Arabidopsis thaliana: one gene and its partner. The protein of the gene in region 2 interacts with the protein of the main gene of each other region in a pairwise test. Each region holds a gene or a part of one and is shown on either strand. Other genes may lie near its edges. The genes, in order: AT3G12100 and AT2G04620.

The links.
Region 1: the proteins of AT2G04620 (region 2) and AT3G12100 come close enough for resonance energy transfer, tested with the Arabidopsis thaliana proteins (one study listed by BioGRID).

Annotation. Positions count from the first base shown.
Region 1 is NC_003074.8:3,853,710-3,859,011, forward strand, and holds AT3G12100 (Cation efflux family protein), read right to left. Parts: upstream 3,611-5,302; 5' UTR 3,562-3,610; coding exon 3,147-3,561; intron 3,055-3,146; coding exon 2,946-3,054; intron 2,809-2,945; coding exon 2,769-2,808; intron 2,533-2,768; coding exon 2,456-2,532; intron 2,325-2,455; coding exon 2,236-2,324; intron 1,893-2,235; coding exon 1,823-1,892; coding exon of another isoform or gene 1,816-1,822; exon of another isoform or gene 1,771-1,815; intron 1,693-1,770; coding exon 1,654-1,692; intron 1,559-1,653; coding exon 1,408-1,558; intron 1,320-1,407; coding exon 1,230-1,319; intron 1,134-1,229; coding exon 1,032-1,133; 3' UTR 778-1,031; downstream 1-777. Other genes in the region: TET6 (tetraspanin6), read right to left, coding at 1-5; ACT11 (actin-11), read left to right, coding at 4,407-4,466, 4,579-4,972, 5,128-5,302. UniProt on the Arabidopsis thaliana protein: Involved in sequestration of excess metal in the cytoplasm into vacuoles to maintain metal homeostasis.
Region 2 is NC_003071.7:1,609,920-1,615,163, forward strand, and holds AT2G04620 (zinc transporter-like protein), read right to left. Parts: upstream 3,042-5,244; 5' UTR 2,984-3,041; coding exon 587-2,983; downstream 1-586. Other genes in the region: AT2G04621 (uncharacterized protein), read left to right, coding at 743-780, 1,063-1,228; AT2G04622 (uncharacterized protein), read right to left, coding at 3,767-3,957, 4,046-4,100. UniProt on the Arabidopsis thaliana protein: Involved in sequestration of excess metal in the cytoplasm into vacuoles to maintain metal homeostasis.

The DNA of each region.
Region 1 (5,302 bases), on a different chromosome or scaffold from region 2:
TACATAGTAGTAATGTTATCAAGAAGAAATCAGAGACTTAACACTGCCTTCTTTCTTTTGTAAGCAGATTCTCTTCTTGCAATGTGAATTTCATCAGCTTTATCTTACAATCTTCTTTTTCTAGATATAATATTGGTTAACTCTACTTTTGGCTTTTGATTCTCTCTTATCAATTGGGAATTTTTTAAGGGGAAAGGTTAAGAGTTAATGGTTTGATGATTCATGATCATATTCTTTTGGTCCTCTCTCTCTTGAGTTGAATCAATTAAACAATAACATTAAAACCGTATAATTTTCAAATAAAAGTGTCTTTTTGAACAATTGTTTCTTGTTTATTATTCTATATTATACGTTTTTGTCGTTGGAGTTGGTACAGAGCAGACCACAACCAAGAGAAATCAAGTAGTGCCTTCATTAAAATATGTTCTTAAGACATTACACCATAAAGAATACAACTTTTTCTAGCTTTTAGTCCAAAAACTGCAATCATGGTTTATATAATGGATGATCACAAGTGGAATAAAATAAATGTGCTATGTTCAATGAAGCATAGGAGTAAGCAAAGAATAATATATAGACATGGACGGGAGATGATTTCGTAATCGATGAATTTTCTTTCTAAGATGCTTTTAGTGGCCCATTCCTCGGAATATTAGGTTTTTAAGATATAGCTTGATGTGATCTCCGATTCCCCCACTTCCTTTTTTATCGTATAAATAAACGAGAAGGAATGCTAAAATCTTGTCTCAGCTCATATTGAATTTTTGTGTGTTTACTTTCACATTTAGCAAATGATATATGTTTTAATTCGCCAATCATTATGAGCCAAAATATCCACAAGCTTGAAGATACAAAGGTTTGTGGTCTTTGTGTGGTTGAAAATTCACATAAATGAAAAACAAACAAAACAATATCACAAAGTCACAACTTGAAAATTCACAATATTTATATTCCTAAAGAACCATGATCTCTAGTATACATCCAAAAATCTTCAAATCAGCATTTAAAAACAAAGAAGAGGCAGATGCAGCTTAGGTGTAATCAGTTTGCAGGGTCAAGTCTTGTACACCCAAATCATGGTATACATCATATACATATTGCAGTAATGGTCTTTCATCTATTCCGCTCTTCACCTAACGCCGATAAACAAAATAACAAACCCAGTCATTTCCATTTCTAGTGTGAGCTCATGTTTTAACCGATATAAAAAAAAGGAGAAAAGTGAGTACCTGGAGTCTGAGTGAGCCAACAGTGTGACCAGGCACAACCTCCCAGAAACGTGCCTGTAAAACCTCCGTTACATCTTCTCGAGAAGTAATCTGTACAGAGAGAGAGAGCTGAAGAGAAGCCTGGTTTGATCAACAATGGGAAATATGTACACATTCGAGGAACGATTTATGAGCGAACCTGTCGCAAGCATTTGCTTAAAGCAGAAGAAGGAATGTTTGGGGGTGCCATCTGAAGCAAGACACCACCAGTGGCTTTGAAGAGTGGCATAACAAGCATAAACACTGTGACCGATACCAATCCTAAACATAGGACCTCTGCATTTTCAACCCTGAAAAAGCCAAGGCATAAGGAGCAAAAGGAAAATGTAGTCAAGCAAGAAGACACTTTTATTCATTTAGCTCCTTCAAAGAAAGCGAGTATTACCCGAGCGAGAGGAGCCAAGATGCCAGTATCAAACCTGCACTGAAAAGACAGCAGCAAAGAAAACTTCATGTTGACTGTATATAAGTTTGATGCAAAAGGAAGCATTTTCTTTTCTATATAGCTTTCTCCGATTCTGCTTGAAATTTATAAAGGCAGAGAGGATTAACACCTGCGGATGGAATCTGATATGACGTGCAAGCAAACGGAGTGATAATTCATATCTTCTGCTTTTCTGTAGGCTGCAGCATATTGCATATTATGAATATAAGAAAAAAATTCAAGATAACATGTGGTTTTTAGATATGTAAAGAAGGGACAGATAATTTCAAGAAGCAACGAATAGTCGTTTGACAGATCAGTTACAATTATGCTGACTCTCTCTTTCAACTAATCTTCGTACTGATTCTATCTTAACCAAACACCCTTACTTCTTTGGCTTTAAAGCGAAAACTGACAAGGGTGGCCAATTTCTACAAATGAATACCAAAGCCACCAACAAAGGCTATATCAAAATATAAAGCAGCGTATGAGCATCAATTCATACAAGTCTAAACAGAACTTAAAATGCAGAGAAAAACATACCAATATTGACACGAGCATAATTCCGGAAAAACCAAACACCTAGTAGGTTCACCAGCAGATTTGTTACCGCTGATACAATCAAATAATGCCTACATAAAGGAAATCTCAGTAAATCACACTACTGAAAGGAACAAGAGGGAACAAGTACTGTAAACTTAGTAAGTGCTAGAGATATATATAGAAACTCCTAGGCATGTCATTTGTGAAAATATCAACTTACTTATGCTCTGATTCATCTTGTATAAATGCATGAAGAGCTTCCACAGCTAAGGAGAATGACATGAACATAAGGAACAGCTGTCTACACATATGTCAAATATTAAACAAATCAAAGTATTAACCAAAAAGATAAACTACAGAGACAATGAAAGGCAAAACGAAAAGATAGATTGTATGGAAGTCCAAATCTTTTTAACGAGCTGTAAAATACTCTATTCTATCAGCAACAGTAAAGGAAAGAGTTTTAACACTGAGTCAAGCCATCTACACTAAAGCTGGAAATGACATCCAAAACACGTTAAGAACATACTTACAGCATTAGTGAAAGCAGATAAAACTTCAAGTCTTTTGTACCTGGGAACCCAAAAAAAAGAGAAGACAAGGATGCCTAAATTACAACCACTTGAGCATAATCACATTACAGTCTCGGGAGAAAAATAGATCATAAAATGGATTAACCAACTGAGCCAATCAAATTACTTGTAACTCACCCGTATGAGTAAGCATGATCAGGCTTCTTCCTTGAAGTTGCCATTGCAAATAAAGAAAATGTCAAGAGACCACAACCAAATGTCAAATGGAATGCATCAGAGACCAAACCTGTAAGAGTCCACAAAACAATTCAAAGAAAGAATATCAACAATTCAGAGATTCAATCCTAAAACAAAAAGAGAACTGAAACCAAATCGTACCTACACGACCAGTGAAGATACCAATAGAGAGCTCTGTTGTAGAATACAACACATTAAGCGCAATTAGCAGAAACAGTCTCTTCATCTGCCGATTTCCACTTGTCACTACTCCAAAAACCTCCCAAACCATTTCCAAAACAGACACTTTTGCCATGTCTACATCTTTCCCTTCCCCGAAAAACACATCACTTCCATCAACGGAGTAAATATCCGGCGGCATATCGATGCTCGAGACCGTCCTATCGAGAAAAGGCTTAGCCGCTTCCGTGACCGCCGGCGTTCGTGGACCGTGAGATTGCTGAAACGAGCGAGAATAAGCAAGCCTCCGATCATTAGCAGCATATCCGACATCGCTGCTCCGATCATCAGGGAGCTCGTTATCGCCTCGAGGATTAAAGGAAATGGATCTCTCCATTTTCTTCTTTGATCTTAAAGTTCCAACTTCGGCAAATACTAAAATCAACAGTCAGTCGTACAAAGAAACTCTGCTTATACAGTAAAGTCAATGGGCCACTGTTCTAAGCCCATATATAATTTTAGAAGCCCATAGAATACAAAAGAGTCAAGAAGCATTGACCGCACAAGAAAAAAACAATTGTTAAAAAGGGTTGGTTAGTGTGTATGTATATATGAAATGCAACAAACATTATACAGCCCATTAAATATGGTTGTTATAGGTAGATGTCCCCATTAAGGAACTTTATCCAGCCCATTAAATTACTTTACAGAGTAAAAGAGAGAGAGAAGATTTACAGTTACGTTACCAAATTTTCGAAATGATTTAATTAGTAATAAATAAATAATTAAATGTCAGTTACTCTCTTTAGAAAGCTAAATAAGACAGCTGTTTCCACCAACAACGTGACTGGTCGTGGGGTCCTCCTTCGTTCAAAGTGATATTCAGAAATCAACGGCTGAGATCTTCTCCATCAATATTTATTACGGGCCTATTCCTTCCTTTTTTAAACTTCAATTCTCCGGCTCACATTCTCTTCTTCATTCGCTCCGTTTCTCTCTCAAAAACTACACACCCGTACCACACCACCACCCTCCTCGTTTCCTCAGAGATCCCCTCTCTAACTTCTAAGGTAATCACATTTCCATAACGTTCCATCGTCATTGATTCTTCATTAGTATGCGTTTATGAAGCTTTTTCAATTTAATTCTCTTTGGTAGATCTTAAGATTCCTCTGTTTCTTGCAAAATAAAGGGTTCAATTATGCTAATATTTTTTATATCAATTTTGACAGGATATAGAAAATGGCAGATGGTGAAGACATTCAGCCTCTCGTCTGTGACAATGGAACCGGAATGGTTAAGGTACATCTTTACATGACCTTTGTGGATATAAATCTGATAACTTTTTCTTTTATTATTTTTGGATACAATGCTGTTTTGTCTGGTTCATTCATATGTGTTTCCAATTCCTTAGGCTGGATTTGCTGGAGATGATGCACCAAGAGCTGTATTCCCTAGCATCGTTGGTCGTCCTCGACACACTGGTGTCATGGTTGGTATGGGACAAAAAGATGCTTACGTTGGTGATGAGGCTCAGTCTAAGAGAGGTATTTTGACATTGAAATATCCTATTGAGCATGGTATTGTTAGCAACTGGGATGATATGGAGAAGATTTGGCATCACACTTTCTACAATGAGCTCCGTGTTGCACCTGAAGAACACCCTGTTCTTCTCACTGAGGCTCCTCTCAACCCCAAGGCCAATCGTGAGAAAATGACTCAGATTATGTTTGAAACTTTCAACACTCCTGCCATGTATGTCGCTATCCAAGCTGTTCTTTCCCTCTACGCTAGTGGTCGTACTACTGGTAATAAGATCTTCAACACCTACACCATTTTTTTAATCACTACTACCCATTGCATTGAACAAACTTCCAAGTTCTTCTTAGCTTCAGATTAAGAAAGTACCCTTTCTTGGCTTTGTTGATGTGGTACCATTGTCCATTGTCTTGTGTGTTTCCAGGTATTGTGTTGGACTCTGGAGATGGTGTGAGTCACACTGTTCCAATTTATGAAGGATATGCTCTTCCACATGCTATTCTGCGTTTGGACCTTGCAGGCCGTGACCTTACTGATTACCTCATGAAGATCTTAACCGAGCGTGGTTACTCATTCACTACCTCAGCAGAGCGTGAAAT
Region 2 (5,244 bases):
AGATCCAAGTTTTTTGCCGGTGCTAAAGTTAGAGTTTTGAACTTTGAGTTAGGCCCACATGAGATCACGGGCAATGGGGTTGGATTTAAACCGGATATTTTGGATATGGATGTTATGGACAAAGTTGTTGAGGTAATGTATAAGGCTACTAGACCTTCCATTTTTTTCATAATATTCTATTAACTTAAAAGCTTATGTTTTGACTTTTGAGAATACGTGCGAGCTAAACAGGTTAGTAGTGAGGATTCTGTAAACATGGCTAGAGAGTTGGCAGTGAAAGAAGGTCTCATGGTGAGTGTTTTGAATATATAAATGAGATAATTAGTTAGTTTTTGTTGGTTTTTTTTACTTTCACTAAGGGAACCTGACTTGTAGGTTGGGATATCATCGGGGGATAACACCGATGTAATGTCAATATCAATAATGTATTTCTATTTTGGATTCTCTGTTTAAGAAATGTATTGTTTTGTAAATCATACAACTTTATAATAAGTTCCTTTTCATAACACAAAACTGAAAATTTTGTTTCAGTCTCTAAGATAGTAATGATCAAGAAGCACAATTAATGTGTCTTCCATGTCAATTGCTATGAGTTAACAGATTCCACCTGCAATGTCCAATCCTTTACTCCTGCATCTTCTAACAAACGTGACACTTGTAACTTAGTATCCGTCTTGTCTGAATCTGCAGATACAAGGAGATGGAGAGTAGCCACGACGTCTGAGTTGGTGAAACTCCATACATGCAGCCTCTGGATACTGCAAACACCTTTAGTCTTAAGTATGTTCCTCATAGCTTCTTTCAGGTCTTGCCTGTGAGCCCTAGGGACTCTTTGCAGTAGAATCTCCGCAGAGTTTCGTAGCAACGGAATGACTGAAGCGATGATGAGGATGGAGATAAAGATTGAGCTGGCTGGATCTGCAACTAACCAGCCCTTGTATTTAATCAAGAGTGTCGATATCACAACTCCAACACTCCCCATTGTGTCTGCTAAAACATGAAGAAAGATTCCTTCCATATTGTGATCAATGTGGCGATGCTCCTTCTTTTCGCTTTTTTCAGGTTGGTGATCAGAATGATGGTCGTGGTTGTGGTTGCACTCCTCGTGATTATGGCTATGGGATTGATGCTCATGGTCGTGGTTGTGGTTGCACTCCTCGTGTTTATGGCTATGGGAATGATGATGATGGTCATGCTCATGATGTTCCTCATGTTTATGGCTATCTGAATGCTGATGATGTTCCTCATGTTTATGGCTATCTGAATGCTGATGATGCTCCTCATTTTTATGGCTATGGGATTGGTGTGAGTGAGAATGTGTGCAACCAGATCCACCATGAGCATGATGATGTTCCTCGTGGAAAAAGATTAACCCGACGATATTCACGAGAAGCCCACCAACCGAAACAACCAAAAGACTATTTGTAGAAATCTCCTGAGGATCCAAGATTCTCTCAATCGACTCAAGCACAATCAGAGCCCCAACAAGAACAAGGAACACCGCGTTAACATAACCAGAAAGCACTTCAAATCTACCTCGGCCATAGTTATACTGATGGTTTGCAGGAAGACGAGAGATATAAGACGCATACAGCCCAATTGCCAAAGCAGCACAATCAAACAACATATGACAAGCGTCTGAGATCAATCCAAGACTGTTACTCATAAAACCAGCCACAAACTCAACCACCATATACGCCGTATTAATCAAAAGAAACAACGCAATCTTCCTCGATTTCTTCTCGCTCAAAATGTGACGGATAGGCTTCATAAACATAGTGGAAAACGACTCAGGCGATTCCATACCAATCTCTTGATAATCTGAATACACAGACTCCAACTCTCTAACAGCAATGTAAAGCAACAAACCACAAAGCAACAATCCCCAAAGAGATAGCTCAGGAAAATAGAAGAGTTCCAATACTATAGTACATAGAAACGTTACAAGAAACTCCCTCTCTGAGTCCTTCTTCTTCGAGCTTGAAAACTTATCATCATTATAATTCTCACTCAACAACACTCCAAATACAACAGTGTTAGCTAAAGGCCAACCTAAATTCCCAAAAGAGACACTATCATCACCACTACCAGAGAAGAAGAAACTCCAAATAGCAAGTGGGAACAACAACACAGTGGTTAGAAACAAAGACAGTAATCGAACTCGTTTCTGATCTAACTGTTTGATCTCATTCCAATTCACAGAAACTTTCTCATAACAACCTAAGAAACCAGATAGAAACGGAAGCAACAGAGGCCAAATCCTCAAGCAATTCTCTTTAGGGTAAATCCAAAAACCCCAACTTTCAACAGATGATGAAAACGGGAAACAATCAACACGATCCCAGCTGATTGATAACAACAACAACCCAGCAAACAAAACGCAAAACCCACGAACCTTAGATGATCTAACTCCAATTCCACCAGTATCACTAAACAAGACTCTGGCTGAAACTGTGCCAGAGAGTTCAGCTAAGATCATAGCAGCAGCACCACAGTAACGAAGAGCTTGAAAACGGAGAAGAAAGACGAAAGCAAGAAGGAATGATTTAGCGAGTAAGAGTTTGATTTGAGAGGAAGAAAGAGATGAAATTGAGGAAAAGGAACGATTTTGAAGACGGAGAAGAAAAGGGTCTTTCTTTGAAGGTGAAAAGGAAGAGATGATAGTGAAAGAAAGTGAGAAGAGGAAAGAGAGAAGAGAGACGAGGAAGGAGAAAGGGAAAAGAGAGAAAGAAGGTGAAGAACGAAGGAAAGGTAAGAGAGAGTAAAGAGATCTAAGAGAGAAGAGAATGAGAAAGAGAAATGAAAGTGATGATTTGCTTCCATGGATCGATCTGTAGGAAGAAGAAGAAGAGAGACGGGTTTTGGAAGGGGTTGGAGTTGGAGTGTAAGGGAATGATGGGTATGTTCTTCCGATTGTTGGTTGTGGTACTGAAAGACGATTAGGTCGATGTTGATGATGATGATGATGATGATGATCCACCATTGTTGTTGATGCGGAAGCTTTTGAGATTTTTCCCGATGAGTCGCCGGAGGAAATTTTCGTCAAGACATGATTTTTGTGATTTTGTGAGCTGTTTACTTTGAATTCCAAATTTGTTGGTTTAACCGAATTAAACCGGAACCGAGTAATATTCTTAAATCAAAAATCAATTTTGCAAAAGCGGTTACTAAAGTGGTCTAGGCGGTCGTCTAAATCCCATCTATATTATGACATCTATATAATCGTTTTGTCCGCCTAAATTCATATAAATTTCTTTTCAATATATTTTTTTAATTTCCAACTCCAAAATTTAACTAATAAGTTTTATCTTAATATATATTGTTTAATATGAATTAATTAAATATATTTTTGTCTAATTTTTGTTTACTATTTAATATTTTTATTTTTTTAGCAGATACTTTTATATATTTTTTTATTTAAAATTTTATATTTATAATGTCTTATGTTGTAAACGCTTAAACCATCTAAAATCGTTTAGACTATGATTAAACGTTTTAGGCGCTAAATCACCGTCCTGCTTACCATCTAACGCTTTTTTAAACTGAACCTAAAATAAGTTTCTGAACTTAATAAAATTTTCACCGATTTATAAATTTGAAACGATGCCGGTTCAACTATATAGATTTTTGCTGCTTGAAGGCTAGAAATCCCCATATGTTTATTATCAAATCCAATTTAATTCATGTGGTTGTATAAATATTTTTTTTTATTAATGAAAACATATCTTATTTATTTGACTAAATTAAACGAGGGGATGTATAAAAACTAGCATATACAACGACATATAGGAAAAGTTGGATCAGGAGCATAACATATCAAATGACATCCTTTTTTGCACCCAAGACCCCATCGATTCGCATTTTGCTGCAAAGCTTCATGATGCAAAGCAATTTGTGGCATTTCTTCGGATAATACACGTTTTGCTTCAACATTTCGTGTAGTTACGATGCACATCACTACAAAACCAAACTAACTTGTTGTTATAAACATAAAATTTGCATGTAGAGATTTTTAATTTTATTCACACATGAAATAAAATTTTACCGAATGTAACAACAAAGAAGGCAACAAAAGCGAACTTCGTTGATGTTCTCTCCATTTTTTTTTGCTTGTTGAGAATATTTAATTGAAAAGGATTTTGAAGATTAATACTTCTTTGAAAATTAAAATTTCATAGTTGATGCATTATTAGTTTTACGTTAATAGAGTTGATTATGAATATTGTTTACCCTAAATTTGCACGAAAAATTTGTTTAAAAGATTTGTATTAATTTTTTAAAAGAGAAAAAAAACTGTTCATGGTTTTGCCCTAATTTTGCACGAAATCATTTTACCCAAATTTTGCACAAATTCATATTATCCTAAATAAAAGTTTTGTCAAGATATATGTAAAATCCAGATTTTGCACAAAATAGTTTTATTCTGATTGGTTTTACAATATTGCATTAAAATTGTATTGGTATATAATACTTGATTATTTTATGAAATAAATTGATTTATAAATAACTTAATTTAAAGGTATAATCACTTATAGAAATTTTCATGAATGACTAGTTTAATGTATCTTAAGAAGATATCATAATTTTAATGGTCAAAGTTTTTTCAAGAACTTAAATTATCACCAGAAGTTGAGAAAATAAATATAGTAAAAAATAAGTAAAATTTCTAACTTTTAACGATGAAATAATCTAGTATATCAAGTAGTATAAAATCTTATTAAAAGACTCTAGAAGAGCATATACATTGTTTTCTATGGGAATACAAAATTAAAATCATCGATGCGGTATAGTTCTCCAAATTTTAAAGTTAATATGATGAGATATAAAATACATTATGATTCTAGAGTGGAATTCAATACGAGATGGATGAACTTGAAGTTTCATCATCTCGAGGAGGAGAAGTAATAAATGGATAATACGTGACATATCCAGAAGATTATGTTCAATCTTTGACTACTAAAGATCTAAAAGTTGTATAAAGCAACTCTTATATGAATGTGTTATTAGAAGCAAGTTATAATTAGTTATTACTAAAACTTCAAGACTTGAAGTCTCTTTGTGAATATAACTCACATTGTTAAGAGAATATCTCTGATGCGGAGATGGTAAAACAAACGCTTAAACTTTTACGCAAGTATTGTTGTCCTGTAGACACAGTATTTTGAAAAACAATTTAAGAACTATTATGAATCGAGTGTTTTTTCAAAGGCTGAGAAAATATATGAGTTATTTGATGATAAGTAA